Diceros bicornis minor: one gene and its partners. The protein of the gene in region 2 interacts with the protein of the main gene of each other region in a pairwise test. Links are inferred from orthologs where the notes say so. Each region holds a gene or a part of one and is shown on either strand. Other genes may lie near its edges.

What was found.
Region 1: the proteins of FAM161A (region 2) and CADPS interact in a two-hybrid assay, tested with the Homo sapiens proteins (2 studies listed by BioGRID). The two-hybrid records come from large-scale screens. The link is inferred for Diceros bicornis minor from reciprocal best matches to the Homo sapiens genes FAM161A and CADPS.
Region 3: the proteins of FAM161A (region 2) and VPS52 interact in binary tests that used the Homo sapiens proteins (3 or more experiments, as listed by UniProt). The link is inferred for Diceros bicornis minor from reciprocal best matches to the Homo sapiens genes FAM161A and VPS52.
Region 4: the proteins of FAM161A (region 2) and MIPOL1 interact in binary tests that used the Homo sapiens proteins (3 or more experiments, as listed by UniProt). The two-hybrid records come from large-scale screens. The link is inferred for Diceros bicornis minor from reciprocal best matches to the Homo sapiens genes FAM161A and MIPOL1.

The regions. Positions count from the first base shown.
Region 1 is NC_080741.1:62,198,714-62,206,790, forward strand, and holds the start of CADPS (calcium-dependent secretion activator 1), read right to left. Parts: upstream 3,378-8,077; 5' UTR 2,869-3,377; coding exon 2,425-2,868; intron 1-2,424.
Region 2 is NC_080751.1:25,472,064-25,480,239, forward strand, and holds the start of FAM161A (protein FAM161A), read left to right. Parts: upstream 1-5,084; 5' UTR 5,085-5,230; coding exon 5,231-5,428; intron 5,429-8,176. UniProt on the Homo sapiens protein: Involved in ciliogenesis.
Region 3 is NC_080753.1:31,184,300-31,192,539, reverse strand, and holds the start of VPS52 (vacuolar protein sorting-associated protein 52 homolog), read right to left. Parts: upstream 3,318-8,240; 5' UTR 3,053-3,317; coding exon 2,963-3,052; intron 2,134-2,962; coding exon 2,049-2,133; intron 1,904-2,048; coding exon 1,851-1,903; intron 1,658-1,850; coding exon 1,582-1,657; intron 1,396-1,581; coding exon 1,328-1,395; intron 1,015-1,327; coding exon 839-1,014; intron 457-838; coding exon 306-456; intron 28-305; coding exon 1-27. Other genes in the region: RPS18 (small ribosomal subunit protein uS13), read left to right, coding at 3,496-3,552, 3,975-4,073, 7,797-7,883, 7,963-8,064, 8,182-8,240. UniProt on the Homo sapiens protein: Acts as a component of the GARP complex that is involved in retrograde transport from early and late endosomes to the trans-Golgi network (TGN).
Region 4 is NC_080744.1:12,475,398-12,483,121, reverse strand, and holds the start of MIPOL1 (mirror-image polydactyly gene 1 protein), read left to right. Parts: upstream 1-4,622; 5' UTR 4,623-4,814; intron 4,815-4,848; exon of another isoform or gene 4,849-5,087; intron 5,088-5,124; exon of another isoform or gene 5,125-5,700; intron 5,701-7,724.

The DNA of each region.
Region 1 (8,077 bases), on a different chromosome or scaffold from region 2:
ATTTTTCCTCCAGCTTTTTCTAGTTCATCCATTTCTGTCCTACTACAGACTCATGTTGAATTTACAACTAGTTTATATTTCTCCAAGACTAATTTTAGTTGACCAATCTTACTTGTTGGCTTTAAATTTTACCACAATGATTATGCAAACTTAGTTACTTCCAATGATTGCTCATTAAAAAAAAAATAATAAAGTTCCAAGCTTTCTACTTGGAGAAAAATAGCATAACACCCTTTTCCAGGAAGGCACTAAAAACTTAAAGATATAGCAATGGAAAAGCTTGTTTTCTTTTGTAGTAAGGAGCAAGATATTCAGCTTCTCAGTTTGGCCAACAGCCCTGAGGTAGCTTTGCCAGAATATGTATTTAGCACTAGTTTGCAGCAATAACTAAAAATAGTTTGACCAAATGCTAGTGTTATTAATCTGTCCTGGAGTCTCTCTGATGTTAAGGTCATGTGTAAAAACAGAACTCATTTACTCCTCAAAAACCACAGCTTTCAATGGATTCAGGTAAAACATACAATCGGATCAGAGAAACTTAGCCTAGCAATGATCTTTCCTGGTGGCTGAAGGTTCTGTTTAGAAGAAGGGTGTCTCTGCGAGAATAGACTTCTTTACCCATTCTAGTGCTGGATTTAAGCATCCACTTAAATGACACAGCTCTAGAGCCTTCGACTGATAAAGGGAAGTTTGTTTTTTATTTTCTCTTTAAGTCACAACAGTTTTCATTGCCAAAGGAATAGGACATCTTGGGTTGGTGCTGTTAATAGGATAGATTTTGGAGATGGAATTTCCCCTGCCATAAAGACACAATTATCATAATTCCAAGCTGAAATTGGAAATATCAGATTCTGTGGACGCAACACCCAACCTTAAAGGAGTATCCAAAAAACTTACTGCTCTGAGGATGCTTTTGCTCTGTGTAGTCCAATATACAGGTTGAAAAGGCAAGGGGCCACTGACCCAGGTGGAGAGTGGAGTATGTAGCCCACCTGCTACTTCTCAACCAGGAAATGAGTTTTATTTTTAATAAAACTGATAGGCAGGCTTGTGATAGCTGAAATAAACCACCAGTGCTGGGTGGTGTGTGTACACATATTAGCAAAACAAACAGAGAAATCTGTGCTAACTCAAGATAAGGGTGGATAAATATAGGAAAACCTAACACCCGACTACAGCAACATATAATTCAGTCTTAAATGACAGCAACGGAGAAATTCACTTTTAAGAAACCCCACCTCGATGGGGTTAGAGCTGGCTTCTCGCACTCCCCTCTGGGGGCTTCACTGGCTTTTCTGAGAGCCCAAGAGCTGCAGATTCATTTAAAAGAGACAAAATAGAAGGCTGACTTTCTTAACTCACTCACTCCAACGGGTACCTGACCCCTTCTCTTCTGGACCCCCACCACTGCCTCTCATCTTTTAGTAACCGCCCCCTCCTTTCTCTGGCTAGAGAACAGCTGATAGAAATAGATGCTTTTTTTTCATATCAAAGGCAGCCCGGAGCCGCCTCAGCCTTGCCCCAGCCTCAGACACAAAAAGCTTTTGATGTTTATAATTGTGAGGCTTTTTGCAGCTGCACTTTATCAAGCCTGCAGCGGCGGGGCTTGGAGGGCCTCGGAGAGCCAGAAGGTGGCGGCGAAGTCACCTTGGGAAGAGAAGAGAGTCAAAGGGAGGAAGGTAGAGGGGCTGACCCCGGCAGGACCAGAGGGCGTGCCCCTGCTCTGGGGTCAGTGAGGAAAGGGAAGGGAGATCGGAAGGAACCCCGGCCAGAGGGAAGCGGTGCCCGAGGACCCCTGGGCAACCCTAGTCGGTGATCAGCCGACCTGGGCAGGGGAGGAGGGTGCCCTTCGCAGTGTGACTGGAAGCTTCGCCTTCCAGGCTTGCTTCCTTCCGCCTGCCCCTGGGGTTGCTCTCTGCTCAGGCTAGCCTGAGCGCAGCTCGGAGGCGCTCTCCTCGCTCCACATCGGCGCCCCCACCTGCCGGGTGCCCCCGCCCGCCGAGCGCACGCCCAGGAGGGCGGGCCCGGAGCTGAGCGCAGCCGCCCGCCGCTGGAGAGTGCTGGGAGCCCAGGAAACGAGCAAGGCCTTTCTGGGCGCTGTGGGCTGCAAGTCACTCCCTGAGCCTCCTGGGCCACAAAGCGGGACTTGCCCGCCTTGCTCCCCGGCGCTCCAGGGAAGGGAGGCTCCAGCACGCGGCACTGCGCTCCAGGCCCCTCGCCGGTCCCAGGTAGCTCCTGGCGCGCTCCGGGCTGGGCTGGGCTGGGCCGGGCCGGGCCTGGCCGCGGAGAGGGGGCCTCGTAGCCCCTTCCCCAGGGCGCGGTCTCCTCCTCCTCCTCGCCAGCTGCACCGCCAGCTCCTATTGTTCGCCCCGCCCGCCTGGCGGCGTCCCGGCGCTGCTCCCTGGGCCTCGCAGGCGCACCTACCTTCTGCTGCCGGCGAGCCATGTCGGTGGGCTGCTTGGCGTTGAAGGGGTAGGCGATGCAGCGCATCACGAACACATAGAGCTGCAGCCTCTTCTTCCTCTCCTCCTCCTCCTTCTGCAGCCGCTCCAACTCTTCTTTCTCCTTTTCGCTCACCACCGACGGGCTGGGGCTGGAGGGCCGGCCGCCACCGGCGCGGCTGCTGGGCTGCAGACCACCGGCCCCGCCGCCGCCGCTCGCGCCGCTGGCCCCGCCACCACCGGCTCCCACTCCGGCCCCGGCGCCAGCACCGCCGCCGCCTCCGAGCCCGGCGCCGCCGCCCGAGCCTTCGCTGGTGCGGCTGGGAGACAGGCGCGCGCCGGACGCGGCCGAGCCAAGCACCTCCTTGCCACTCTCCTCCTCCACGATCTCATCCGATTCCTCTTCGCTGGACGAAGGGTCCAGCATGGTGGCGTTTGGGGAAGGGGGTCCTTGGAGCCCCCGGCTTGGGGTGCAAAAGGTGGGGGGCGCCGGAGGCAGCTGGGAGTCGGCTCTCCCGGATGGGCTCTTCTCCCGAATTCGGGGAGCGAGCGCGCTGCTGCTCAGTCTCGGCCGCCGCGACTGCTTCTTCCGCCTGGCGATCTGGAGCTGGGCTCAGACCCAGGAGCGAGGGGAGGAGGGACAGGGAGAGGTGTGTCCGTGGACCCGAGGTGGGCAAGGGGGAGAATCAGTTGCGAGCCCCAAGCCCGCAGCCGGATGCCATCTGCAGCCGCTGAAGAAGGCGCCTCCAGAAAAGATGCCGAGTGTTGCAAGCTGTCGATGCAGCCAAGAGCCGAAGAGGCATCTTGCCGATTGGGGAGGGAGCGGCGCTTACGTGTTTATTGGCTTAACTCTCCCGTGTCCGCGGCGTAAAGGGTGGCTGCAGAGGGCTGGAGGGGGGAGAGCGCGGAGCCTCCGCAAAGTCTCAGAGCTTCGGTACTGACCCGAACGCCTTCCCACCCCCATCAGCCCCTCCCTTTTGTGGATAATTTCCTCCTTGATCCCCAGGTCTCACTGCCTGGACCTCTCTCCTCCTCCCGCAGACAAAAAGTTCTTGGGGGAGGAAGAAATAGACAAACCAGTGATGACTTTTTGTCAGCGTAGAGTGGACTGTCTGTCTGGAGACGCTAAATCTAGAGGTCTCACTAAGAGGAAGTCGGCGAGATCCCGTACGGGAAAGCAAGAGTGTATCTCCTGTCCCCAGGTTTCTTCACACCTGGGGCGTGGGGGCAGTGGGGCTGGGCAGAGTGTTTATCCCACCTGTGTAAACTCTGATTCCAGCAATTTACTTTACATACGTCCACTCTCATTAAAATAAAAGTGAATCAAATTTTGAGCGGATTGATGTATCGACCATGCAGCTCAACTATTTGAGTAGAACCCTCGCCCTTGTCTCCTCCGCAAAAGCTATTATGAACATTCTTCAATTCCAAGAACTGGGAATACTTTCTGCTGAGGTAAGCCTACCAGAGAAATAGAAGGGTTTCTCATTGCTCAGCCCTTCCTCCATTCTGGCTCGCTGGGAGATCTGGGTGGAGGAGGGGGGACCTCCAGATCAGACAAAGACACCCCAAGAACTCAGCGGCATCACCATCTAATGCGTTGACTCTGTTGCACTGTCTTCATCTCTGCTCCTCGGTTATCTATTAATTCAAAGCAGCAGATGGTGCCTTCCTTTCCCCTGCTTTTTTCACTTAGGCCAATAAACCCGGCGGACCGGGGAGCTGGCCAGCGTGCTGAATCTAATCAGCGACCCGCAGATGGATTGAAAACAAACCGACCCCCGCCACCCTTGGATCTTAGGCTATCTAGAGACCTCTCTCCACCTCCCCGCCACCCTATCTCCTATATTTATTTTCTAATGCTCTAGTTATCCATAGATACTCGTAGGATTTATTGTAAAAGTGTAGCATGAATTTAAAGTTTACATCACGTCTGTCTTTAGGTATTTTCAAATTTACCATGAGTTTTACTGTAGGCTTTGGTATTCAAGTGAAGCTTTCTAGCTAATCTGTTTGAGAGCTAAAAATGAACTTAAAACAACATCTCACTTCACATTAACTCCAAAAATCCTATTTGATTTCTTAAATTAAGTAATATATGTATGGCTTATATTTGACTTCACCACCATACTCACCTGAAGGACATAACTTCTGTGGCCATCATGCATTCTGTATCAATTTAAATAATCCAGCAATGTGAAAATTGTTACAATTTAGCAATCTTCACTTTTTAATTCTTCTAAAGGAGTAAAAGATGTTCAAATTATGTTGTACTCGTTTCCCTGGAACAGAAAATACAGTAGGCCAGTCAGTCAATTAATCAACAGCCCTTCAGCACCTTTTTGTGGAGTGAGTGGAATGAACATGAAGTTCTAGGTGCTTGTGGTGGATGGAATTTTTGGAAGACATTCTCTTAAAGACTCTAATCTCCTTTGGGAGATACAACAGATACACGTGAAAAAGGTTGACAGCACTTATTTCAAGGCAACATACCAACAAATCCAAGTTAGTAAACCCCTAAAAGCTGGCTTGAATGAAGCAGTTGGGAATGGAAGAGAATCATATATTTCTCAAAGAGAGTTAAATTTTAAAGGAAGGAATCATATGAATGGATGATGAAAAGGGAAGATATTGTAAGTGATAAAGTGATTTGCAAAGCCACAGTGATAAGACAAGGGACCAAGTAAGGTATAAGTGTTGTGGAGATGGTGTGTGGATAGGTAAGGGTGAATCGAGGAGGAAAAAAAGAGCTGAAATAATAATCCATTTGGCCAAATGGGGAGATCATGTTTAGGACACAAAGAAATGAATTATTAGCTAGGGAGCATGTGGTTTGCAGAGGAGGTGCTCTTCAAGGCCAGATAAAGGCCATTTACTAATTAAATATTTCTTCTCTAAGCAAGGTTAGGCATTTAAGTATTATCACATTAGGCATTGGTAGAAGAGTGACCGTGAATTCTGTCTTCAGAACCATTTGGAATTTCTCAATCGCTATAATAAAGATTTGTTTAGTTTTGTATTTTTACAAATTCCTTTGTAGTTATGTGGCGTTTTTTTCCCCAGTTATACTCATTAAAACATAAAATCAGTATCTGCCTTTGGTTAATCATATAAACCTATGATGGGTATTAAATATAACATTGCTCAGGTAAACCTACACTCTTCTCATTCCGCCCATGAGTGTTCAATCAAAGAGACTTAAGCAGATTTTCCTAGAAATACTTATAATTTTTTTCAAATGGTGTGCATTTCTGTCTTTTAAAATGTACATCCTCTCAAAGACATCTTTTACCTTAGCTAAAAGTCAATCCAGTATCCTTGGAGATATTATAAGTCTTTGCTACTGGTGAAAATAAGAAATGTCAACCAGAACTCCTTAGGCATCTTAACCAGGAGTTATGGCTTTCCTAGATGCAAATTTTGATGAACAAGGAAGAAAATAACCCCAGAACACATCCACAGGCTCTTAACATGTGTTTATCTTTTGTTAACATCCATATTCCTATTTTAAAGAGTACAATTCTACCATAGGTTCTGATACACGTAAGTATTTATATCCTCAAACAAGCTATTTTAGGTACTTGCTTGTTTGCCCCCACCTCCAGTTCTGCTTTGTAGGAAACTTGAATAACCCCAAGGTGATGGAATAAATTTTAGTCAGCCATCTGGAGACTATATCGTGAGTAGAAGTTTTAACATTGAATTTTTAAATCCCACCCACTAAAAGCAAAGTCTAGGGGAAATGGAAATGACTGAGATGCTAAACCAGGGTTTTCTAGTCTAGGCTTAGATTATCTCCGTTCTCCTCCAAAGCATTTGCTGTCATTGTGTAAAAGGCCACAAGTAGGAGGGAATATCTGACGTGTTGGCAATTGATAGACACTTTGATGAAAAACAATCGCTGTTTATGTCACTCATATAACATGTTTCAATCAAATAAAACTGAGTTTAATGCCCATTTTAATGTTTTTGTGTGTTTGTTACTAGAAGATAGTTTGACTAAGTAATTTTTTTATCTCACAATAAATTTCATAGTATCTAAATGTAATCATCTCATCCAATCAACATTTTTTTAATTTTAAGAATAGCTCACAGGCACCAAAAAGGAAAAATTTGAACCTTATGGTATGCCTATGTCAATTTAAGTGCTTGGACTCTCAACCCAAGAAGTTCTATCTCTGGCACCTAATAGCAGAGTTATTCTGAGAAAATTATTTAATGACTCAAACTCAGTTTCCTCATCTGTAAAATGAGCGATAGTAGCACTCACTTCCCTTGGAATGACAATAAAATTAAATTAAATGTTGTATTAAAAGTGTTTTTCAATAGGGGCCGGCCCGGTGGCGCAAGCGGTTAGGTGCGCGTGCTCCGCTGCGGTGGCCCGGGGTTCGCTGGCCCGGATCCCGGGCGCGCACCCGACGCACTGCTTGGTAAGCCATGCTGTGGCGGCGTCCCATATGAAGTGGAGGAGGATGGGCGCGGATGTTGGCCCAGGGCCGTCTTCCTCAGCAAAAAAAGAGGAGGATTGGCGGATGTTAGCTCAGGGCTGATCTCCTCACAAAAAAAAAAAAAAAAGGTGTTTTTCAATAGATTTTAGTTTTAAACATTTTTTCAACTGGTGGAAGAAGGACTTGTAATAAATGAAATGACCAGAAATTGGATACAAATAATTGGACAGAGAAACAACATTAAAAAGATCAAATAATCCAGAAATAGATCCTTGAATAATAGAATATTTGCTTATTTATTTAATTGATCCCTGTCTTATTTTAAATAGTATTTTATGGGACTTATGGTTTATTTTACTTGAGAAATCTACCCTTCATCATTACTCTTTATCATATGATAATTCTTGCTAAAGTAAAATGGAGTGAGTTAGGATGGAATTAAAGGATAATCATAAGACTGAAAATAATAGAATCAAACCACACAAAAACATCTTCTTTCAGTCCAGGCAACAAAACATGTTTTGCAATGATAAATAATACTACTTGCAGGAACTCGTCTTGGAAAACCACCTTGTTAATTAAGAAGATGAAAAAGAAAAATGGAACGATGTATTTTACAATAAATAGTTAACTTGAATTCTGAAAACCAACTATTCACAAGGGTAATCACATTTCTGGTGTATACAACTTCTTTTCATAGAAGTAGGAGCTAGATGTGGTACAGATTGAAATGCAGTTTATGCTGGTCTTTACAGGGACAAAGTGGAGGATAGAATCTTTTGCCTTGACTCTGGGATACAGCAACATGCCAGCAAATAAACGGGAAAAAAGCATCCACGTAGCTGTTTCCACATGATAAGATATTAGGTAGATAATTTGCCTAATTAGCCCAATTCTTCAATTGGGATTACTTTGGTAAATGTTGCTACCATTATATCTTCACCTTCTCAAAAGAATTTTCTAGGTTGATTATCTGGGTTGTATTTAATTGTTTTTACAAACTACACTGGCTTTACACTGAGAGGCTTTCTGAGATTGTAGATAAGAATGACTGAAGTCAGGGTATTTTCACATTAACAAGTTTGTTTTCAATTTTAAATAAAATGGTGAGTTCCTTCAATTCAGGCTACTCTAAAACATGGTTCTTTTGGCTATATAATCTTTTGGAGAAAGAAAGTGAGTAGGAAA
Region 2 (8,176 bases):
TTGTTTAGTGTGTATAGAGTTTCAGCTATTCGTTCAATATATTTTAATATATAATTTATATTTATTTAATATATATTTTAAGTAGTTTAAAGCCACTTTATTAATATAATTATACTATATAGGGCCGGCCCCGTGGCTTAGTGGTTAAGTGCGCGCGCTCCGCTACTGGCGGCCCGGGTTCGGATCTCGGGCGCGCACTGACGCACCGCTTCTCCGGCCATGCTGAGGCCACGTCCCACATACAGCAACTAGAAGGATGTGCAGCTATAACATACAACTATCTACTGGGGCTTTGGGGTAAAAAAATAAATAAATAAATAAATAAATTATACTATATAAATATATATTAACTCATAGTAATATATTATTCTATAGATATATAAGTGAGACAGCCAAAGGTGGAAAATAAATACAAGGTATGAATTACTGACCTGGCCATAGCTTTAAAGCAAATTAAGTTCAGTTTCCTGTTCATGAAGGACTTGTCCAGACAGCCGCCATAGAGTCATTGTGACTTAGAATTGTCCATCTAAGGGTAAAGGAAAGAAATTAATTTGCCAATTTCTCGTCTCTCTCATTGGTCAACGCTTGTCCCAGGGTGTTGATTCTTGCCCAGTGCCTCCAGTCAGATGCTGGGGAAGCCAGATCTTGGGCCACTGGTTCAGTGCTTCATCTGAGTCTGGAAGTGGTGTAAGGAGCCAGAGCCTCCATGGGTGTAGTCAATGTTGCTTTAGCACAAGAGATGTAGACTCTGCTACTGCAGCAGGGAGCAAGAGGACCAGAGAGCAAATGGAACTAAGGAAATAGTCAGGTATCCTAGAGAAGAATTAGAGCCTTGGTTCTCCAACCTGTAACACATTAGAATCATCTGAAGCATTCTAGAAGCTATACTGATAACCAAGTGTTCAAATTATTTACTTCTGCATTAAAAAATTACTCCAAAACTTAGTGGCTTAAAAACCACTTAAAATATATGTTATTAAATATATTAATAAATTATTACAAGTTAAGGGGCCGGCCCGATGGCGCAAGCGGTTAAGTGCGCGCGCTCCGCTGCAGCAGCCCGGGGTTCGCCAGTTTGGATCCCGGGCGCGCACCAACGCACTGCTTGGCAAGCCACGCTGTGGCGGCGTCCCATATAAAGTAGAGGAAGATGGGGACGGATGTTAGCCCAAGGCCAGTCTTCCTCGCCAAAAAAAAGAGGAGGATTGGCAGATGTTAGCACAGGGCTGATCTCCTCACACACAAAAAATTATTACAAGTTAATGTATAATTATATAATAATATTATGTTATGTATTATCATACTACATATTAATATATAAATAAAATATACAATTTATATTTAATGTATATTTTAAGTGGTTTCTAAGCAACTATATTTATTTCATATGTAATTTAAATATAATTATTCTACAGATTTTATAATTTCTGTCATGAGTTCTTCTGTAACCTATGAATTGTTTTTTAGAAGTATTTTAAAGTTTCCAAACTGAAAAGGCTTTTCTAGTTATTCTTTAATTATTCTCTAACTTAATTGCATTAAGTGATCAGAGAATGTTGATTGTTTGATGTTAATCCTTTGAAATATGTTGATGCTAGCTTTATGGCTTAGTACTATGGTTACATTTTATAATGTTCCATGTGTTCCTAAAGTAATGTATACTCTCCAATTGTGTTTTTTTAATATATATATATTAGCTATGTTATCATCCAATAGCTATGTATTATCTAATTGTTAATTGTGCTGTTCAAATCTTCTATACCCCTTCATATGTACACAAATGTATCAAAGACTTCCACAGGACTGTTCACAGCTGCTTTATTCACAGTAGCAAATGTGGCAGCCATATAGCTGAGCTGCTTGGATGTCCCCTAAAGACAGGATCTGCTCTGAGGAGTGCAGTCAATCGATACAGCAGTGTGCTGGAGCCTGCTGGTACGGACTTGAGAGAGTTGATTGTAAAATTTTCAGCCATTACTAATTTGTTAAACACAGCCATTATTAAAAATTAGTTTTGCTAAATTACAATTAAATAATGTTCAAAACAAAGATAATTTCTCAAAACTCTTTACCTCCTCTTCTGTTACCATATTTTACTTATATTTATATGCTCTTGAGCTTATTTGCACCTACTATATCTCTGCAGTGAAAAACTATATAATGGTGTGCTACTGGACGTCCTTCCCCAAGTTCATGTTCAGTGATGTCACATTGGTAGCTTGGAATTGGCCTTGGTGGGAGTATTGACACCATGTAAATCAGCAAATGCTATAAATTGGACTTTTAAACTTAAAGTGATTGACAGGGAAAATGTTCATAATGCAGGAAAAAAACTTAAAATTGTGTGGTGCCTGTAGCCACTACATTGTGAATAGCACAAAAAATTAAGGAAATCTTTCAATATTAGAAAAGTATTTATTTCAGTGAAGAAGTTGCTCACGATATTGAAAAACAAGTGAAATTCTGACATACATTTTGATTACTTCACTTTCATCTTATTAATATAAGCAAAAATATCAACCAATATCCATGCTGGAACTACATTGTTAATCAACTGCAACCACAGGCTGGCTTCAGATACAAGAGTTCAGCAAAAACTAATGAAAGTATTCTGGGAGAATCAATTGTTTATGAGGAAGTCACAGTAAAGAGTATATTTTGATATTTCTAAGTTGTATGCTACAATCCTTTATATCACTAAAATTTACAATAAGTGTGTCATCACACACACAAACACACACACACACTTTCCCCCAGAGAGTCTCTCAGTAACCATTTACCAGCATACCAGCACTTGAGGATTTTTCACAGTGTTCCATCTGAGAACATGTTCTTCCCAGGGAGCTCTAGCCAATGATTGAGATGGTAGGGCTGGTAGGGTCTGGCCATTTCTGCCCATCGCAGAACTCCTCTATGAGCAATCTTAGCACTGGAGCTCTCTTTTTAACTAGCTGAGACTTTCTCAGAGCTGCACTGCAGTTTCAACCTCCTCCTACACAACATTTTCCCTTCCCTCTCTCCTTTCTAAGGTGTCAGATCGTATGTTGGCCTGAAGACTTTCCTGCTCCTCTTCCTTTTTCTTTCACAGGAATTTTGCCCAGTAAATCTCTTGCACTTCTAATTCCTTCTTGGTGTCTGCTTCCTGAAGGACCCAAATTGACAGCCAAAAAATGGAAACAACCCAAATGACCATCAACAGGTGAATGGATAAATTTAAGATAGTGATAAAGACAACGTTAATAGTGCAGATTAAATATGAGTATGTCTTGTCTGTTACATTATGAATAGCACCAAAAAATGAGGAAAATTCTTCCAGTATTGGAAGATTATTATCTCTTTAAGCAAAGAATTCTATTCAGCAATTAACAAGAAACAGACTACTCATATATACAACAACATGGATGAATCTCAAAGAAAAATAACAGTATGCTGAGCAAAAAGAGTACATATGGTATGATTCCATTTATATGAAGTTCTAGAACAGTCAAGGGGATGAATGGGGAACAGACTGGGAAGGGGTACAAGGAGAATTTCTGAGATGATGGAAATGTTCTATATCTTAATAAGGGTATGATTTCATAAGTGTATGCATTTGTCAAAATACATCTATCTATACTTTTAAGATCTATTCATTTCAGTGTATATGTTCCATCTCAATTCAAAAGCGCAAAAACAATTCTTCCTATAATGATGTAAGATGTGTCATTTTCTTCTTGTGGATCTGTCCATTTCTGTTCTGTATACTTTGAGGCTATGTTATCAGATATCTGCAAATTTAGAATATTGCTGGTGAGTGGAAACTTTTCTGCTCTTCTACATACACACACATCGTGTCCTCGACACTCATTCCTTCTTTTCTATTCTATTCTTGCCTAATCTTCCATTTGCAGTGCTTCAGCATGTAGACCTCTATTGCTGTTTTGGGGTCAGGTTTGTACCTAATCCCAAGAGGGGCACATGCAGCCACAGAACCAGCTGCATGTGAAAGACCGGAAGTCCCTACTCTGGTCACTTGGGGTGTCCATACCTCATGGGCTTCCAGCTCTGGCTTCTGTTCAGAATCCAGCCAGCATCTGTTCCAGCGTGCGAAGCAAATCTCAGCAAAAACAAAGAGCAGCCTGAAGGAAGTGGGAGAGTAGGGGATTTTGCAGGTGCTCACACTCCAGACCCGCGAACAAGAAAGGCTTAGAAACAAGAAAGGCTCAGACCTCAGAGATGGGTTCCAGACGGGGTACGCATGCTGCATACCCTAACTTTATGGTGGCAATGGCTGGTTGTAGGGTTGTAGGTCCGGGGGCACAAGGAGGCTGAAGAATAGAGAGGGGGAGGTTGCAGCAGCCTCAGCCTCAGAAAGCAGGAGCTTAGGTAGCAGGTGGCTGAGACTGCACCTCATCTGCTCTTTTAAGGCTAGGCCTCTCCTACAGGCACGCGGCCTAGCGGGGAGGCGCCATTTGAAGCACCCAAATCTCGCGCGGGAAATGGTGGTAGGGTGAGGTGGAAATGGAGTGTGTCTGTGGTTACTGGTGAGCGCTTGCACCCTCCAACCCCACTACTATAAAGCTGGTGAACCCAAGCAGCAAACGCCCAGTTCATACAACTGTACTGTCACTCACTGGTGGGTGGGCCAGGCTCCACCGAACTCTGGCTTTTATTGGTCAGGGCAAGAAGAACACGAGTGGGATAACTAGCAGCCTCTTTCGGATTGGTCGATTTCTGCTAGCTCTCAAGTCAATCAGAGAAAAATGTACTCCTTCCCATTCTCTGGCTCCCGGGGGAACCATGTTAGGTAGCAGAATGCAAACCTTGCCGCTGTTCTGAGATCACCACACAATAGCATCCTCTGCTTTCTCCTGCCGCCGCCATCTCCTCCTAACATGTTATTTCATGCGCTCTTTTTTGCACAAAACGATCTGTTTCATGTGAGAAGTCTACGTTTAGGCGGTGAGGCGAGAAACTGGGGAAGAGGTGCTCTGTTCCGCCAGCCGACCCTCTAAACCAGCAAAGACTGAGTAATGACTCCTGTTATCCAGGAAGCGCCGGTCTTAGGTCTCCGGCAGCGGGAGAAGAGTTTGAGTGACTTTTGGCCCCTCGCGGCCCCTGTAGCGTCCCTAGTTACCGCGCCCCTCGCAACCGCCCTCCTCAAGCAAGGAGCCGCCGGGTCGCCTGAGGCCACGCCAGCTTCCCCGCCCCGGGCCAGCGCGGGCGCTCAGGCCTCGGCGGCGAGGTGATGGCCGCCTCCCATTCAGGGGCGAAGCCGGTGGCCTGCAGTCTCCAAACCCTGGGAAATCTCAACACCGGAGCGCGGGTCGCCCAGTATGAACGCGAAGACCCCTTAGAGGCCCTGGCGGCGGCGGCGGCGGCCTTGGAGGAGGAGGACGAGGAAGAGGAAGAAGACGAGGAGGCGGTGCGGCCGGCGCGGGCGCCGGTAATGCAGGGGCGGGATGTGGGCCAGGGCTGGGGGCCGGCTGAGGGCTGGTCCGCGTCCGCGCTGGGCTGAAGGACGGGCTGGGACACGCGGCGCCCTGTCCAGATTCTCCCTAGCCGGCAATCCTTGCCCACCACCTTCTTTCTGCCCCCGCGGAAAATACTCAAAACCGAGGCTTTGAAAAGTCTTTTAATTTTCACCAAAGAGATTGTTGAGAGAGCATTTACTTTATTTCTAGAGAGTGCAAAATACAGAACTTTACTCCTTATGCTCTAGCATCTGTTGGGAGTAGATATTTCCTTTTTAACTTAAGGAAAACTGATCTACCCCATAGTGGATAACTCATAAAAAAAATCAGGTGAATCAGCTGTGCTGTCAGCTGTGTTTTGTTGTCACCTAAAGTCTTGGTTATTAGTGCATCTTAACACAATACATGAGAGGCAGTGTTTAAAACCATCAGGAGTTCAGTGGGTAAATCAGACACAGATGTAGTTAAGCATCCAGAGAAGCAAATTACTGAGTTTCCGATGTTTCCTAACCAGCTCTTCAGGCTCGAGTGAGAGCCTTTTCACTAATCAATTTTCAGTGTCAAATGTGTTGTGAACACCTGTCTGCTAGGTAGAGGGCCGAGTCTGCCATCTGCTCTATTCACTTAAAAGATTGGAACCTTGAATTTTAACTAGCAATCTGCAGATATAAACCTCCTTACCCCCAGATAAAGATTCTTAATACTGTTTGTCCAAAGCTTCTCATACAAAAAAAAACATTATGGTCTAGGGCTAATAGAAATGACTGGATATTTTGGAATTCTAATCTCTTTACACTAAAACTGTTAATGAGAAAATCTGTAGCAACACCTTTTAATGTCAATATTTCAGCAACAGACATAAACTACTTGAGGTTATTTAGAGTAAGGCAGGTTGAGACCCTGAACCTGAACCAGGCTCAGAGTCCTAGGACCTTTTTCATTCATGATAAAGTTTCCATTCAACACAAGTTTTAGTAGCCAACAAAGGGAGCAAAGTCATGGAGGAAAAAGATTTGAATGGAGGAAAAGAATTTGGAGTCCTGGATTAGGATCCATTCTCTGCCATTTGCCAGATGATATTAAGATGTAACTTCCTTCAATCTCAGTTTCCCTAGGTGTAAGAGAACTATAATAATTGTCTCTCTTTCTTGTCTCACTGGGATGTTATGAGAACCAAATGAGAGAATGTGTGTCATATGTAAAGATCAGTTTGTATAAATTAGTAATAATAAGAACTGCCAGTGGGCCTGTGATTTGAACAACTTGCCCAAAGATTACATTCTCCTTTGGCTTACTGTGGTAGAGGAGTCAGTCATTTCTCTAGTTCCACGTATAGAGTGCCTTGCTAAACTGCAAATTTGTATTGGAAACTTATTACCTTAGGAGAGACTAGTTTATATAATGAGCTAATTTCAAAGGGACAGGATCTTACCCCCCAAAAACAAAGCTAAGTCTTGTGAGTTTGTCAGTGTTCTGAGACCACCACACTTGAAGGATCCAAAAGCAAACCTGGATAAGCTGCCACAGTAAGCCTGATAGCCAGAGGACGCTGGGGCTGGGGGAAGATGCACTGAAAGACAGGAAAGAGAGTGCAGGAGCCAAGCTTTGCCTTCTTCACAGTTTGCCTTGGGTCTCCACCTTGACTTTTAAAGGTTAATTTGTCTCAACTTTGTCATCTATAAAATGTAGTAAACTCAGATGCTGTAGCCACTACACAAGACTGATTAGAGAACCAACTGTCCCAGGCCCCTTTCAGTCCTTTGGTTTCCCAAAGACAACTCCCTCCCCACTCCACACACACAGACACACACACACACACACACACACACACACACACCGTTGCAGGACTCTCTGCCCGTATTGGGCCCTGAGGCATGTTCCTTGAATCTAGCCTCAGTTGGACATATCAAGGACATATCATAGGCCTTGTTGTGTGACTGATGATGACTTGGGCAAAGCAACATTCTATAATTCGCTGTTAAAATTTCACTGACTCTCCCAACAGGGAGGCCTTCTCTTTTTCAACAAATTTTCCGCATTTAGTAAGTCACTGACTATTAATAGTCACTGACTATTCAGTGGTGAATGAAGCAGACGTAGTCCACATCATCACAGAGCTTCCAGTCTGCTGGGGAACTTAGACAATAAAAAATCAACAGTCAAATGATTATAAGATGGGAAATGTCGGGAAAGAAATGAACAGGCTACTATGATTAAAAAAGGAAGTTGGAGGGAACTTACTTAAATGAGTTAACATTTAAGTCCATGCCTGATAGATGGGAAAGAGCAGCCATTTGAAGAGTGGGGGGTGGGGAGGCATTCCGGGCAGAGGGAACAGCGTATGCAGAAGCCCTAAGATAGGGACAGAAAGAGCTTTGTGTGATTAAGTATCTGAAAGAAAGCCAGCAGGGCTGGAAAAGAGAGAAGGAAAGAGGGGAGGAGATGAGGTTGGAAAGGTAAGCAGGGCCTGATCATTCAGGGCCTTATAGACCAAGGTAAAGGGTTAAGTGTTTATTCTAGGTGCAGTGGGAGGTCCTCAAAGGCTTTTAAGAGATATGACATGTTCCTATTTACATTTTTAAAAGATGACTCATGGCTTTGTGGAGAATGATTGGAGGGTCTGACAAAGCAGAAGTAAGGAGATTGGTTAGGAGGCCGTTGCAGTAATTCAGGTGCCAGAGGCAGTGGCTTGGACCTAGAGTCCAGGGCAGATGGCAAGA
Region 3 (8,240 bases), on a different chromosome or scaffold from region 2:
GATGAACTCTCGGATTTTCGTCACTGCCTAGACGTGAGGGACCAAACAAAGGCATGAACCTGCAACCTTCTTACCATTTGGGAGGCAGTGGGGGAAGTGACAAATGTTAAATATAGGAGGAGAAAGGGTGGAGAATCCCTATTCAGCATTTCTTAAGATTTTCAAGGGAACCCAGAGATGGGAAGTAAAGGCAGGGTGAAGTTCTTGGGGGCAAGCTACAATGAGCTCTGCCAGGGAAATCCAGGATGAAGGTCTCAGGGAAGCTAGTTCTAGTAGTTTCTAGAGTATCCAGTCCCACTCCCCACCTTGACCCGGAGCCGGTCGAGCACGCCTCTGACATCTGCGCAGGCAGCTGTGCCTCTGGCCTCCTGCTCCCGGACTGCGGCCGCCTTGGCATCCAGCTCCTGCAGCTGCTCCAGGAACCTGGGCTCTGTCACTGGCGCCTCCAGAATTGCCCTGAATAGCAGGAAAGGGTGAGCTGGGTTAGGAGGGAGACCCAGACATCCCTAGACTCCAAACCATACCCCCTACATCCAGCCTGTCTCCTCTTCCCATCTTACACTGTATCACACAGTCAGGACATGGGTACAAAGTTTTCTGTTCCTGAACCACCCCCCCATAAGCCTTGGACCCCCTCACTACATGCCTGACCCTGGTGATTCCTAATCTTTGATGCCTAAAGCATGCATCAGTGTTAGAAAGAGTTGTCAACCCACTCATCAGTTTCTGGAAGGCACTTGATGACCTGGAGCCAGGAGACCCATGTGGTAAGTAGGGCAGGCCACCCCAGCCCATCTACCTGCCATAGATATTGTGGCCCTTCAAACTGGTGACTCACGTGACCAGAGCGGAGGGCACCACCAGACCATCGACAAGCTCCCCAAGTTTCCCCCGAACTGCCTGGCGGTTTCGAAGCCGAATGTTCATGGCTCCTGACTGTTCCTGCAGTGTCCGGATCTCAGAGCTGATGGAGCTGAGGTCACTCTGAAAAGCTCCCAACATCTGCTCCATGCGCTGCAGGAGGGCAGGAGATGTTGCTGGAGGGCCACAGGGTTGGTAGGGGACAAGTGGGCCACCTAAGTTTCTTCGTTAAGTCTCCAGTATCTATTAGTCCATGAGGGCAGTGGGTGATGAGGGAGGAGGTACCCCAAAGGTCACCGGCAAATAACATTAGTTACGGTAGTAACAATAAAAAAGTCTATTGAGGTCATCCTGAAAGTGACTCTAACTGTCCCCCCTGAGGCTGGAGACCCAGAGAATGGCACCAGAGACCATGATCTGGGTTCAGGTTCAGGGTTATTGGGGGTCCCAGGTCATGGTTACTAACCTCAAGGACAGCATCGCAGGCTGTGATCTGGTTGTGCAGCGAGGCTATGTTCTCACTCTCTTGGATATCTGACCCACAAAAAGTCAAGGGGCCTCACTGTGAAGATGGAGATGCTCAGACCCACACAACCTCTCCACTTTCTCCCTGAGGTGACAGAAACCTCCGAGAGAAGATGCCAGCCCCATGGGCTGTCAGCACCACATCCCACAAAATCCGTTTTAATAACACCCCCCTTTTCCTCTGCTGGAGGATACAATCTCGAATGGATTTCTGCTCAATCTGCTGAAGCTCCAGCTCAACCTGCTTTGAATAGTGACGGAGATCCACACCCTGGGAGAATGTAAACACGACAGGTCAGGAGGAAGTCACAGTGAAGGGAAACTAGAACAGAAATGACGAAGGACTAGAGGGGAAGACACCAAGGTGACATTATAAGAGCAAGAGACAGTTTTCTTTTTCTTTTCTTTGAGGGGAGGGTAGGTGGAGGGAATTAGTGGGAGATTAGTATAGTGGAAAGCCTCACCGTTTTAAGAGCTTCCTTCACTAACTCATCCTCCAGATTCGCCTGAATGTGAACTGGAAATAGAAGTAAATCATAAGGGTCCAGCTCCACAGCTCCCTCTCCCTTCACTGAACATCTGCACACCATCGCTGCCTTTTACTTCCAGCCCCCACGCCTCTCAGATTATAGGCGCTGCATCCACCCTGTGCCATCCCTTACCGTCCACTTCATCCAGGATGAATTCATCGGAGGTGATGTCCAACTCTCCGAGTTGCAATGGCTCCTGAAGACCAGGACCACCCCCCTGGAGGGGGACAGGTTAAAGGGAGAGAATACATGGAGGAGAGAAAACAAAATATAATGGGATAATCCCCAATCCTTCGCGGCGGGGCTTTTACAGGATGCCATAGGCACCGAGTCAAAAAATTCTAAGAGTCTCACATTGTACCGAATCTACTCCTTGGGGTTGATGGGTAGGGAATATGACAAGGAGACAGGCAACCCACAAAGAGTGTGGAGGTGTCCAGATGAGGAAAATTAGGAGATGCAGAGGACAGAGCAGAGCTTGCAGTTGAATTTAGCATCCCCAGACTCCTGCTATCTTAGGTGTTCTATCATAATCCCTCTGGGGAGCCCTAGCCTTTCTCGAAACGTCAGCTAACACATAGTGTTTACCTGCATGCCCGGTGCCATCTTCCAAATACTCACTCATCTAATCCTAACCGACACCCTATATGGTAGCTCTTATTTTCTTCACCTTACAGGTGTGGAAAGCGATGGCACAGAAAGTCTGGTTAACTCGGCCAAGGACACAGTGTGTAAGCGCAGAGCAGGCATTAGAACCCAGGCCGTCTGGCTCCAGAGGGCATGTTCTAAACCTTTATACTACACTGCTTGTCTGTTCTCCCCCCAAATCTGGAGGTTAATTGAAATTGCTCCCTCGGATCCTCAGTCTCGGCCATTCTGGTCCCCGCTCAGGCTCCGGTCCGATGACAGGGAGAGGTATGGGGAGCCAATCCAGGCATCATCACGGTAGCAACCGAGCTCCCAACTTGTCCCACACCCAGCCCAGGCCCTTCTGACGCGAGGACGACCGGCCGAGACTCCGGAGGGGAACCGCCCCGCGTTCTCACCAGTGGGCCCTCCTCCTCCTCCATATCCGAGGCCCCGGCCCGCAGCACCAGCTCCCGGGCGGCGGCCGCCATCGTCGCGGCGGCGGCCATTCCGCGCAGCCTCACTTCCGGCAGCTGTCAGTCCGGCGGGTCGCTTCCCGGGACAGGAACTACAAGTCCTGGGGCGTCTTGCACAGCGCAAAATCGTTCCCAGATAGTTGAGTTTAATTGTTTGACTCCAGCTTCCCCCTTTCGGTTCTAACCACTTCATCCGAGTGCAAATGGGAATGGGAAGTCTTAAACACAATCTCACGCCGGAACCTTTGCTGCTCTCACAGCCAAGATCTTGACGAACTGTAACGAGAGAACGCACCGGAAGTTGTGGCTCCCAATTCAGACTCGCAGAAGTCGCGTTTGCTCGCGCACAAGCAGTTTCCGGAAGCGCTGCACCAAGATCGCTCCGCCTCTTCCGCCTGGTCACTATATAATGCTTTTACGTCACTTCCGTTCTCTCTTCCACAGGAGGCCTACACGCCGCTGCTAGGTCTGCCGCCATGGTAAGACTGGAATCCGTGCGGGGATCCGGCGACATCGGAACCGGGGCTGGGAAGGTCTGCTATCGGGGGGCCGAGAACGGCCCGTTCTGGGGGTCTGCAGCTTTCTGCGCGAAGCCTTGGATCGTGCCCCTGGGAAGGGACGCCTAAAGACGTCCAGTTTTGGGAGTGGGGCCAGAGGAAGAGTCCGTCCACGGGCGCTCGGAAGCCGCGAAAAGTTTGGGCGTGTATGGGGACCTCCGGCCTCCGCCGTTCAGAGTACTTTTGGGATCGGGCAGGAGACTTGCCCCTTCCCAGAGGTTGCATTTTCCCCAGCCTGAGCACTTCGTGATCCTGCTGTCTGCAGGACTGCAGTTGGCTATGTTGTGAAAACCTGAAGGGCAGTCGTGGCCCCTAGTGTGACAAGCGTAACGCTCCTGTTTGAGGTTACGGTTTGGTGGTAGTTCACGGTGTCTGATTTCTCCCCAAATTTCTGTCAGTCTCTAGTGATCCCTGAGAAGTTCCAGCACATTTTGCGAGTACTCAACACCAACATCGATGGGCGGCGGAAAATAGCCTTTGCCATCACTGCCATTAAGGTAAAGCAGGGTAAGAACTAGACAATATAAGTGAAACGGGTTGTTAGGACCTAAGTCTTAGTGAGGCAGGGTAGAGGAAACATAAGTCCCAACCAGATCCCCTCGGCTACTGGGTTAAAAAAAAAAAGAGACTGGATGAGTGAGTGATTAAATCCCTTAAACCCATACCACGTTTACCCTAAAAGGTAAGTATGAAAGCCAGGGAATAGTCTCAGGTCAAGCCAAAATATTCCACCTAGGAGATGGGGAGTAGATTTGGTGTTCTACCTGAATTTGCTAAAATTTTCCTGGACCATGAGCCATCAATCAGCTTGTGAGGTCCATTGTAGATTTCTGCCCCGCCCCCCATCACACCCGTAATCCTTTCTGTGAAATTTATATGCCCTGGAAATTGAATAATTGTACATTTTGAGGGGTGAGTAGAAATGCCAACAGATTCCAAGTGTGAAGAAACGTATATTTGGGAGGTGAGAGGGGGGTCACTAAATCAGGAGCAGGATGTTGACTCAGATGCCAGAGGTGCAAGTCGTACCCGTTTCAGAAACAGGAACTAGTACTTGGCTTGTTGCATGAATTAAGTTGGTTGAGTGCAAGGTTGGATCTCCCTTCACCAACCTAGTGAACTCCTGGTCTTCCAGATGGAGACATTATTCTATCTACCCCCCCTAAATAGGTGTGATTAGTTGTGGAAATGGTTGAACGTCTTCCTCTCCTACCAGTGGGGGTGGGGATCGGCTTGTCTTGTGAAGAATCCCCAACGTCTGGTGCATGATAGGTGCTCATGCAGTGTTAGGGAGTGGATGTTACTAGGGATACTGTGGCCTGGTTTCAAAGAATTTAGAGGAAACCATGATAAATATTTTATAGATAAGTTAATTTAAAACTAAATCCCAGCTTTGACTTACAACATTAATTAGATTTTCTTAATTTTTCATTCTATACTGCAGGAAGCATAGCTTTCATTTGTTTTGTGTGTGTGTGAGATCAGCCCTGTGCTAACGTCTGCCAATCCTCCTTTTTTATGCTGAGGAAGACTCGCCCTGGCTTAACATCCGTGCCCATCTTCCTCCACCTTATATGGGATGCTGCCGCAGCATGGCTTGCCGAGCAGTGTGTTGGTGCGTGCCCGGGATCCGAACCGGCGAACCCTGGGCCGCAGGAATGGAGCGCACGCACTTAATCGCTTGAGCCACTGGGCTGGCCCTTTTCATTTGCTCTTAAATGGTGTATAAGGAGATTGCGTCCTTCTGTAATTCTGAAACTAGTAAGGCCATGGAAAGTACAGTACCTTTTTCAAGGGTTGCTGTGAGGCCTAAGTGAGATAGTGAATCTAAAAGATGAGCATAGTTAATAGGATGCTTCTGTTAAGTCCTTTCTCTCTACCTCTTTGAAATTAACTGGTTTTGTATTTGTTAGTTTAATTAAACGTCATAACCTCTGTAGTGAGCTTAAAACAATTTTGTCAGAGCAGTTTCAGGTACTTAATGAGCACTGTGATAAGAAGACTCTTGGGATCCTGATGCCCTGCTTTTCACTGGGAAAGGTTATTCCTAGAGATAGATGAGTACTGAGGTTTTTGCTGGTTACCTGGAGAGCCAGCAACTGCAGCAAGCTCTTCCTCTGGTGAGAGAACTAAAGTGTAGAGGTGGTCTTTTGTTAAGGATGTGGTATGGGAGATAATACTTGGAAATTGGAAGAAAGTTGGGGGTGGTGGCTGAGTGTGGGGAGGGGATTCCTGAAAAGATGTGATTAAAGAAGTGGTAAGCAAGGTTAATTGGCCAGGGAAGGGTGAAGAATGGAGTGGAAGTTGACCCAAGCAGAAGAGGGCGTTTTGTAGAGGTAATACAGATCCTGCAAGATTATTTTATGCCGTGATCTCTTCCTCATTGTTTTGTTTCCACTTAGAGGCTTTGCTATGAGTATTCTTTAAGGCTGGCTGGTCTTCTGCCCTTTCTCTAAATCAGGGTAGTAACTGCCATCTGTGGATTATTTGGAAACATGGGAGGAGGGGCTTGGAGTTGGTCACAATGACTGGAACATCATACCTGCTGGCCTTGTTTATAAGGAATTCTTGTCCTGCCAAAGTGCCAGTGCCCCCATGAGTAACAGTGCTCTAAATACTCCAAGAGTAATATTAAGTTGGTATCAACTCTACTGTTATATGTTCCAGACCCTTGGACTATGAAGATGAGAAAGTGATGGTTCCCTGTAGTGCACTCTTCTGGATGGAGAGAACAGGAGTGTTCTTGGGGCAGAGAACAGTGGATCTGGGGATCTAACTTAGGAAATTGTCCAGCCAATCTCTGGAGTCAGTAAACAGGACTTTCAAAATCTTAGTTTGACAGCAACTTTTAAAACAGTTGCTGGTGGAAAATTTGAAACATTCAAGAGTAGAGGGAAGAGAATTATTGGCACCATGGATGTATCATCTAGCTAAAAATTAGAAATCTTGTTTCATCTACACCCTTCCCCATCCACTCGTTTTAAAGGATGTATTTCTGACATAGTATTGCTTCTGTAAATATTTAAATTTGAGAGAGACTTAGACCCTAATCTTTTCTGAATCTACCTCCTGATAATTTGATTTCCTAGGTCACATTCTTATTTCTAGGAAGTACCATCTGTTTTAGTTTACTGGGGCTCTTAGAACAAGTTACCGTAGACTTGTTAGCTTAAAACAACAGAAACTTGTTCTCTCAGTGCTGGAGGCCACACATCGCAAGTCAAGGTGTGAGCAGGGCCATGCTGCTCTGAAGGCTCGAGGAATCCATCTCACCTCTTCTCTGGCGGCTGCCAGCACTCCTTGGTGTCCTTGTCTTGGAGCTGCATCACTCCAGTCTCTTGCCTCTGTTACCACGTGGCCTTCTCTTTGTGTCTTGTGTGTCCTCTCGTTTTATTGTAAGGACACTGGATTTAGGGTACACTCTAATCCAGTACGACCTCATTTTAACTAATTATATTTGTAAAGATTCTATTTCCAAACAAGTTCACATTCTGAGTTTCCGGGTGGACATATATAGGGGGTTAGGGACACTTAAACCCAGCACACCATCCTTCACTGTCCAAATCTCTTTGGTTCATGAGTTCGGTGGCAAAGAGTAACAGTGTTGGTGTCGATACGATGCCACTAGTGTAAGCATTAGTTTCCTTTGAGTTTGATTTGGGCAGTTAGCTTCCAAGGGCCTGGTCATCTCCAGGCACTAACAAAATCGTTTGTGATCTTGGAGAACTTGGATCCTGGGGATGTGGTGATCTGACCAAAGAATCATGAGGCTTAAAGACCCTGAGCCATTGACAATCCTACCCCTTGCTCAACCCTGTTAAAAGGGTTGCTGCTTTGATGCTGCATCAGCTTCGAGAGCCAGGCCCTTTGTCCTCCAGCAGGAAATTGAAAGGTACCCCTCTTCTGTGCTGCTGCAGTGTCTAGCAGCTAGCATTTATTGACAACTGCGTATGCTGGGCATTGTGAAAAAAAGAAAAGATTCTGCTTTCAAGGGGCTATCAGCTATCCTCTGTTCATGGTCCAGCCCTGCCCCTGAACAAAACTTTTTCTCCTTTCTGTGTAATGGTTAGGCTTCATATCTGGGAAAGTGGGCGGGGCAGGGGCAATCCGGAAAGTATAAAGCACTAGGTTATTGCAGGCCCTACCTTTCTATGCTTTTGATTGGAGTAGGGGCTATAAAGGAAATCAGAATCAAACCCAATTCCAAAACCTCTCCTCAGGGCGTGGGGCGAAGATATGCTCACGTGGTGTTGAGGAAAGCAGACATCGACCTCACCAAGAGGGCAGGAGAGCTCACTGAGGATGAGGTGAGACAAGGAAGGGGGTGTGGGTTGGGCCTACCTCGGAAGGGGGGCATCTGGATCTGACCCTTCTCTTGCCTGCCAGGTGGAACGTGTGATCACCATTATGCAGAATCCACGCCAGTACAAGATCCCAGACTGGTTCTTGAACAGACAGAAGGATGTGAAGGATGGAAAATACAGCCAGGTGTGTATTGAGATGGGAGACGTTAGAGAAATGGAAGGCGGGGTGTCCAGCTGGAATTGGGCAGTCATAGGAGGTCAGGGGGTAAAACACATCTCTCACTTTCTCTTCCAAATCCAGGTCCTGGCCAATGGTCTGGACAATAAGCTCCGTGAAGACCTGGAGCGACTGAAGAAGAT
Region 4 (7,724 bases), on a different chromosome or scaffold from region 2:
TGCTTAGATTCAGGCAAGATAGAAACTGGTCCCTCAGGCAATCCCTTGAAAAGTCAGAACACTGGACACACATTCCACTCCTTTCTCTCCACAGGGAGAAACTGGGAGTTGAGGGTTTCTTCCCAATCAAGTCATGCTGGGGAGTGGGTCACTTGCAAGTGAGTGCCTTGAATTTTCCTACTGGCCTTTGATGAAGTTGGTTTCACACTTGCCTTGGGTGCAAGAACCACTTAACTGGTTTCAGCTTTTCTCACAAAGGCAATTGGTCCATGTATTGTTGTTAAATTTGTGTCTCTGTGGGAGAAGGAGGATCTGAGGCTGCCTATTCTGCCATATTGCTGATGTCACTCCAGATTTGAATCCTGTTAAATGAATTTATATTTGTTTTATGGCCTAGATGATGGTGTGTTTTGGTAAATATTCCATGCAGATCTGAAAAGAATGTGTATTCTGCTGTTGATAGGTAGAGTGTTCTATAAATGTCAATAAGATAAGTTGGTTGATAGTGTTTTTTAAGTCTTATATACCTTTACTGATTTTGTGTCTGCTTGTTCTATCAATTATTGAGAGATCAGTTTGAAATCTCTGACTATAATTTTATATTAATTGTGGATTTCTCTCTGCAGTTGTAACACATTTTGCTTTATGTATTTTGAAGTTCTGTTATTAAGTGCATAAGAAAGAGAATAGTGGAGGACAGGGTAATGGACACTGAGATCAGGAGAGAATTGAGTTCAATATTTAAAATATTACATATATGATAACTGAAAATGAAGCATGAAAGTATACAGATTGAGAAGGAAGAAATAAAACTGTCTTTGTTCACAGATGACATGATTGTCTATACAGAAAAATCCAAAAAAAATCAGCAAAGAAAACCTCCTCCTGGAACTAATAAGTGATTACAGCAAAGTTGCAGGAGACAAAGTTAATATACAAAAGTCAATTGCTTTCATATATACCAGCCATGAACCATTGAAATTTGAAATTAAAAATACAATACCATTTACATTAGACCAAAAACAATACTTAGGTATAACTCTAAAAGTGGACAAGAGCTATATGAAGAAAATTACAAAACTATGATGCAAAATATCAAAGAAGATTTAAATAAATGCAGAGATATTACATGTATATGGAAAATAAGCCTCAATATTGTCAAGATATCAATTCTTGCCAACTTGATCTATAGATTCAATGCAGTCCCAACCAAAATCGAAACAAGTTTTTTTCTGTGGATAATGAAATACTGATTCTAAAGTTTATATGGAGAGGCAAAAGACCAAATAGCCCATAAAATGTTGAAGGAGAAGAACAAAGTCAGAGGATTGACACTACCCAACTTTAAGACTTACTATAAAGCTACAATAATCAAGACAGTGTGGTACTGGTCAAAGAAGAGATAAATAGAATAAAAAGCCCAGAAATGGACCTACACAAATATAGTCAAGTGATCTTTGACAAAGGAGTAAAGGCAATTCAATGGAGAAAGGATAGTCTTTTCATCAGATGGTGCTGGAACAACTGGACATCCACATGCACAAAATAAATCTAGGCACAGACTGTACATCTTACACAAAAATTAACTCAAAATGGGTCATAGACCTAAATGTAAAATGCAACATGATTAATCTTCTATAAGATAACATAGGTGAAAATCTAGGTGACCTTAGATTTGGTGATGACTTTTTTTTTTTTTTGGTGAGGAGATCAGCCCTGTGCTAACATCTGCCAATCCCCTCTTTTTTTGCTGAGGAAGACTGGCCCTGGGCTAACATCCGTGCCCATCTTCCTCCACTTTATATGGGACGCCACCACAGCATGGCTTGCCAAGTGGTGCATTGGTGCACGCCCGGGATCCGAACCGGCGAAACCCAGGCCACCGCAGCGGAGTGCGCACACTTAACCACTTGCGCCACTGGGCCGGCCGCCGGTGATGACTTTTTAGGTACACATCAAAAGCACAATCCATGAAGGAAAAAATTGGGAAGTTGGTCTTCATTAATATTAAAAATTTCTGCTCTGTTAAAGACACTCTTAAGAAAATGAGGACTAGCCACAGACTTGGAGATAATATTTGCAAAACACATATCTGATAAAAGATATGTATCCAAAACATACAAAGAAATCTTAAAACTCAATAATAAGGACACAAACCACCCACTTATGGACCAAAAAATAAAAAATAGGCAAAGATCTGAATAGACATCACATCAGTGAAGATATATAGATGGCAAATAAGCATATGAAAAGATGCTGAACATTATGTAACATCAGGGAATTGCAAATTAAAACGAGATACCCCTTAGAATAAAAATCTCTCTTTATATATAAATATATAAATCTTGTTGTTTCTGTTTCTCTGGAGAACCCCAACTAATACACATGGCATTCTCAGCTACTAATGTGCATAATTTTTATTCATTACTTTATTTTCTAGAACTCATTGTAGTGCCTGGCACATTGTGGGAGGCTGATAACATATGTATCCACAAGAGTATTCAACATCTTGCATTCCTTTGCTCCCTGTAATGAAAAGAGATTCATTTTCTTTTTCCTCTCATCCTACGTCCATATTTCTGTAAAAGCCCAACTTATAGGACGGATGAGTGCACAGACAACATCTTTGATAATTAGCTTGAGAAGAGAAAAGAAAGCTCCAATTGGTCTCTCTCATTTCTTGTAGACTAGCAACTGTTAGCAGGACAGAGAATGAAGAAATGTATATGTGAGTGATGGTGGTGGTGGAAGAGGGTTGGGAAAAAATTAGCTGTTGTGGTCTGAAAAGTTTAGGAAAACAGCATTAAAATAAACAAACACATAGGGACAGAGATTGGATTGGTGGTTACCAGAGGGGAAGGGGGGAGGGAGGAGGGTGAAAGGGATAATTCGGTACATGTGTGTGGTGATGGGTTGTAATTAGTATTTTGGTGGTGAACATGATGTAATCTATGCAGAAATAGAAGTACAATGATGTACACCTGAAATTTTTACAATGTCATAAACCAATGTTACTGCAATAAACAAAAAATTAAAAAAAAAAAAAAGAGTTACCTCAGGAAAGCTGGAGGAAGGACTAGGGAGAAAAGGCCTAATGTTTGAGCTCATTGAATAAAAAAGGTGGAAGAAAAAAACAGGTTACTGAAAGAAAACATGGATTTTCTCTTTACCCTGGAGACTTTCAGCATCCAGATGAGCTTTAAAAAACTAGGGTTAATGTACCTTTACCCAAAGAAAAATAGTATGACTTTCTCTAAATTTAACCTATTAATTAATTATTTGGTTTGAATTATCTCAATATAGTGTTCACCATCCCCCCTTATTTCTTGCTATTCCTTAGCCAGAAAAAGCAATTTTTCCTCCTTTTACATAGAAGTTGAGCTGGCCCTAAACCTTTCCAAAGTCATTCTTCCTGATTGGATTGCCCTTCCCATCTATTCTGACAAAAGTATTCCACTCCTCTTTTTGTCTCATATTTTTATGGTACTTTGTATTCACAAATATCTGATTCAGACCTTGACTGAAGTAAAAAAATGCATTTCAAAGCTGAATCTATAACAAACCTCTTTAGAGCACTGTGCATTCATTACAATATAATAACTAAGAGTTTGTGACTATTATAACCTATTTTGTTCCAACTAATCTACATCCAATTTTTCATGTCTTTTTTCCTGCTCTTTTTCACACTTACTAAATGTAACTTCCTTTCATTAACTTTAACCATTAACTTGGGAAACCGTCAACACTTCATATTATGCCTAGTCTCTGGAGATATGTAAAAAACCATTGTTGCTTATTATTCAACACCCAGAAGAGTACCTGGCACACAGTAGGTGCTAAACAAATATTTGTATCTGAAGGAGTTAACGTGACATTTATAGACGCAATACTGATCTCTGAAACAAGAAAATCACATTCAAATTACTAGCAATTATGCCATTCCGTTCTTGTTTCAACACGGAGGTACACAAATTGAGGGCTTATTTTTTTTGTTTAATTCTGGAAGGTTCAACATCTTGTCTTAAAGAATCTATACAGTGAACATCCAGATCTCTTTCGAGTACTTAAGTCAAAGAGGTCACCGCCTGCAAGTTTTAGTACGAAACGCTCGCTCTTTGGCCAGGAGCTAGGTACCGCTTTCTGCTCATCCAACTGGAGTTCACTTCGGCCCTTTTCATTCAACCATCACTTGGCAACACGCCGCTGTCCTCTCCCGGCGTCGCATCCCCACTCCTCCTCTCACTCCAAACCACACACAAGACGGGAAACCACAATTCCCCCAGCTCCGTGGAGACTCGACAACGCCCAAGTCGAGCCACAAGACGCATTTTAACCGCGTTTTCCCTCCTTTAACCAGACTGGGTTTTGTCCGGGCAACATTTGCTCTCGGAGAACGCGCCCTTCGTTTCAGACAAGCGTTCCGCCCTGCCGGAGCAGCCGCGTTACACTAAGACCGCCTCCCTTCTTCCCCAAACTCCTGCGACGACTTCCAAGCTCGCTCCCTCGCCCGGAGGCCCCGCCCCGCGGCCCTGGCGGCGCGGCACGCGCATGCCCGGTGCGCGCCGCCTGCCGCGTCCCGCGCCCGTTCCGCCTCCGTTCCCCGTGGGCCCCCGCGCGCGGCGTGCGGCTGGCTCGCGTCCCCGCCGCGCCCGCCTGCTCGTTTGCGGGCGCGCGCACCTCCTCGCTCTGGCGAGCCCGGCCGGGAGGCTCCGAGCGCGCGGCGATTGGCTGGCGTGGGGGCTGCGCGTTGGGCCTGAGAAACTCCGGGCGGGCGCGCAGAGTTGGCTGCCGGGTCGGTGCGCGGCGCGTCTCAGGTAAACCGGGAGGCTGGGAGGCTTGGGCGACCGGAGAAAAGTCGGGGTGGGCTTACCCCAGGCCTGGAATTTCCGGCCGCAGCCTCCCTGGAGAAGGAGAAGGGCCGCGCGGAGTCTGCGCCCGGTGGGTACTGGCCCCGTGCGGCCGGGAGTGATGGGGCTCCCTCGAAGGTCAGCGTCGTGGGGTTCTCAGTCCTCTTTCTGGGCACGATTTCGGCAAACTCCCCAGTTTCCCACTACAAGCGTTCAGCAGCTGGACATTTATTCAAGGCTGTAGGTTTTTGTTTCTTTTTCCCTTAAGTCGCGGTGAGTTAGAGGATTCAGGTCCAGGCTCAACCTGTGGTTGGCTCTGTGCCCTTGAGAGTCGCTTAACCGCTTTGTATTTCAGTTCTCACCCTTGTAAGTTTCGGCGGCACGCTGAGCTGTGCTTTAGAAAGATACTGTTAGAATGCTTTTGGTTCGCAATGTCTAGGGCCGCCAATTTTCTAACTGGAAGGTGACACCACCCAACAGTATTTGTGAAGTACTTTAAGCTCCATGGATGGAAGGAACTGGATAAACACAAGATAGCAGCATTATTAGGGTGGTGGAAAGAAACAGCTTTCCACAAGAACAAGCTTTTTGAAAAGCTCCTTTGAACATTTTATGCAGATTAAATCACAGTGTTAGTAGACAAAGCTAAGCCTAAACAAAACTACATTTCAAGGAGGGTTTATTTTTCTTCCCCAGATAACTTTAACATACTATCACAAGTTATTCGCCTTTCGGAGTTTCTCCTTGGGAACGAGTGTGGAACCTAAAATGATGGTTATATAATCATTTGGATATCCTATGCAATTGTATACCAAGAAAATTAATTAAAACAAAGCTGACTTTTCTATATAAGGTAACAAGAATTAAGATATCTCATTGCTGAGGGGTAATGATGGCAAATTAGAAAAGTGAACGGCAGATGTGCACAATTTTCCTAAAAAGGCATAGAGTTTATAGAAATCTATTTAGTGTGTTAATTTTTAAAGTATAATAGACATACAGAAAAGTGCATGAATTGTAATTGTACAGCTCACTGAATTTTTTACAAAGTGTACGTACCCGTGTATCCAGTCCCTGGATCAAGAAAGCATTGCTTGCATCCTAGAAGTCCTACTTTGTGCCCCCTTTCCAAAGGTAACCACTATCTCCATTTCTTTTTTCTTTTTTTTTTATTTGTGAGGAAGATTTGCCCTGAGCTAACATCTGTTGCCAATCTTCCTCTTTTTGCTTGAGGAAGATTCTCCCTGAGCTAACATCCATGCCAGTCTTCCTCTATTTTGTATGTGGGACACCGCCACAGCATGGTCCGAGCCGGAGATGGAACCTGCGAACCCCAGCCCCTGAAGCAGAGTGCCCAAACTTAACCACTACGCTACTGGGCCGGCCCCACTATCTCTATTTGTAACATGATCTATGAATTTACCTATTATTGGTTTTATATAAATGGAATCATATGGTGTATAGTCTTTCGTGTCTCACGTTTGCTTAGTACTGTGTTTGTGAGATTTATAGTTATGTAGTATGTATGAGTTATGTAGTAGTGATTTGTTCTCATGCTGCGTAGTATTCTTCCAGGTTTTGGCTATTACCGATAGGGCTTCTATGAACATTTTTATAAGTATTTTGGTGAACATGTGTATACATTTCTGTTGTATATATATCTACTAGTGAAATGGCTATATTATAGGATATGCAGATAGGTATTTCTGGTATACAGTACCAAAAAGTTTTTCAAATTAGTTGTGTCAGTTAACACTCTTAATAGCAGTGTTTGAGAATTCTGGCTCCTCCAAATGCTTGCAACACTTACCATTGTTTTTTTCATTTTAGCCATTCTGGTGGGTATATAGTGATATTGCATTGGGTTTTTTTCCCCTAATTTTCCTTAATAACTAATAACATTTAACACCTGTTCATCTGTTTATTAGCCATTTGGATGGCCTCTATAGCAGGGGTCACCAAATTTTCTGTAAAGGGCCAGATAGTAAATATAGGCATTCCTTGCTTTGTAGAGTTTCAGTTAACACAGTACTGTGTGAAGCTAAGCCTGTGTTTTAGGCTTTGCAGGCTGTATACAGTCTCTTTTGTACAGTCCTCCCTCGGTATGCGGGGATTGGGTCCAGGACTCCTGTGGATACCAAAATCTGCAGATGCTCAAGTCCCTTATGTAAAATGGCATAGTATTTGCATACAACCTACAGACATCTTACCATATACTTTAGATCATTTCTAGATTACTTATAATACCTAATACAGTGTAAATGCTATGTAAAGAGTTGTTATACTGTGTTGTTTAGGGAATAATGACAGTACAGATGCAACCATCAGAGGCCTTTCCACTGGGTATCGGTTGAATCCGTGGATACGGAACCTGCAGATATGGAGAGCCAACTATATTTTCTTCCTTCCTTCGTTTCCTCCCTCCCTTCCTTTGCTTTCCTTCCTTTTCTTCTTCCCTCCTTCCTTCTTTCTCTCCTTTTCTTTTCTTTCATTCTTCCTTGTTTCATAGTTTGCTAACCCCTGCTATGTTGAAAAATGACTGCTCAAAAATGACTATTCAATCTTTTGCCCTTTGGTGGTGGTGAAATCATTAACTGACATGGGCTATATGGAGAAGTATAAATACATAGTAGTATTAGGTAGTGTGCGCTCTAGTGTTTTGGGTTTAAATTTCAAATCTCTAAACATACTTTCTTTGCTTTTTACCACCTTTACCTCAAGACTAATTAGAGACCTATTTGAGTCTTCTCTGAGCTGTCCCTGATGCTCCTGCTTTCTCCCATCCCTTAAAACTGGGGGAAAAAGGAGAGGTAAGAAGTGAGAAAAGAAAAGAGGGATGCATATCCAGTCAGCTCTGGACACTGAGTGAAAAATTAT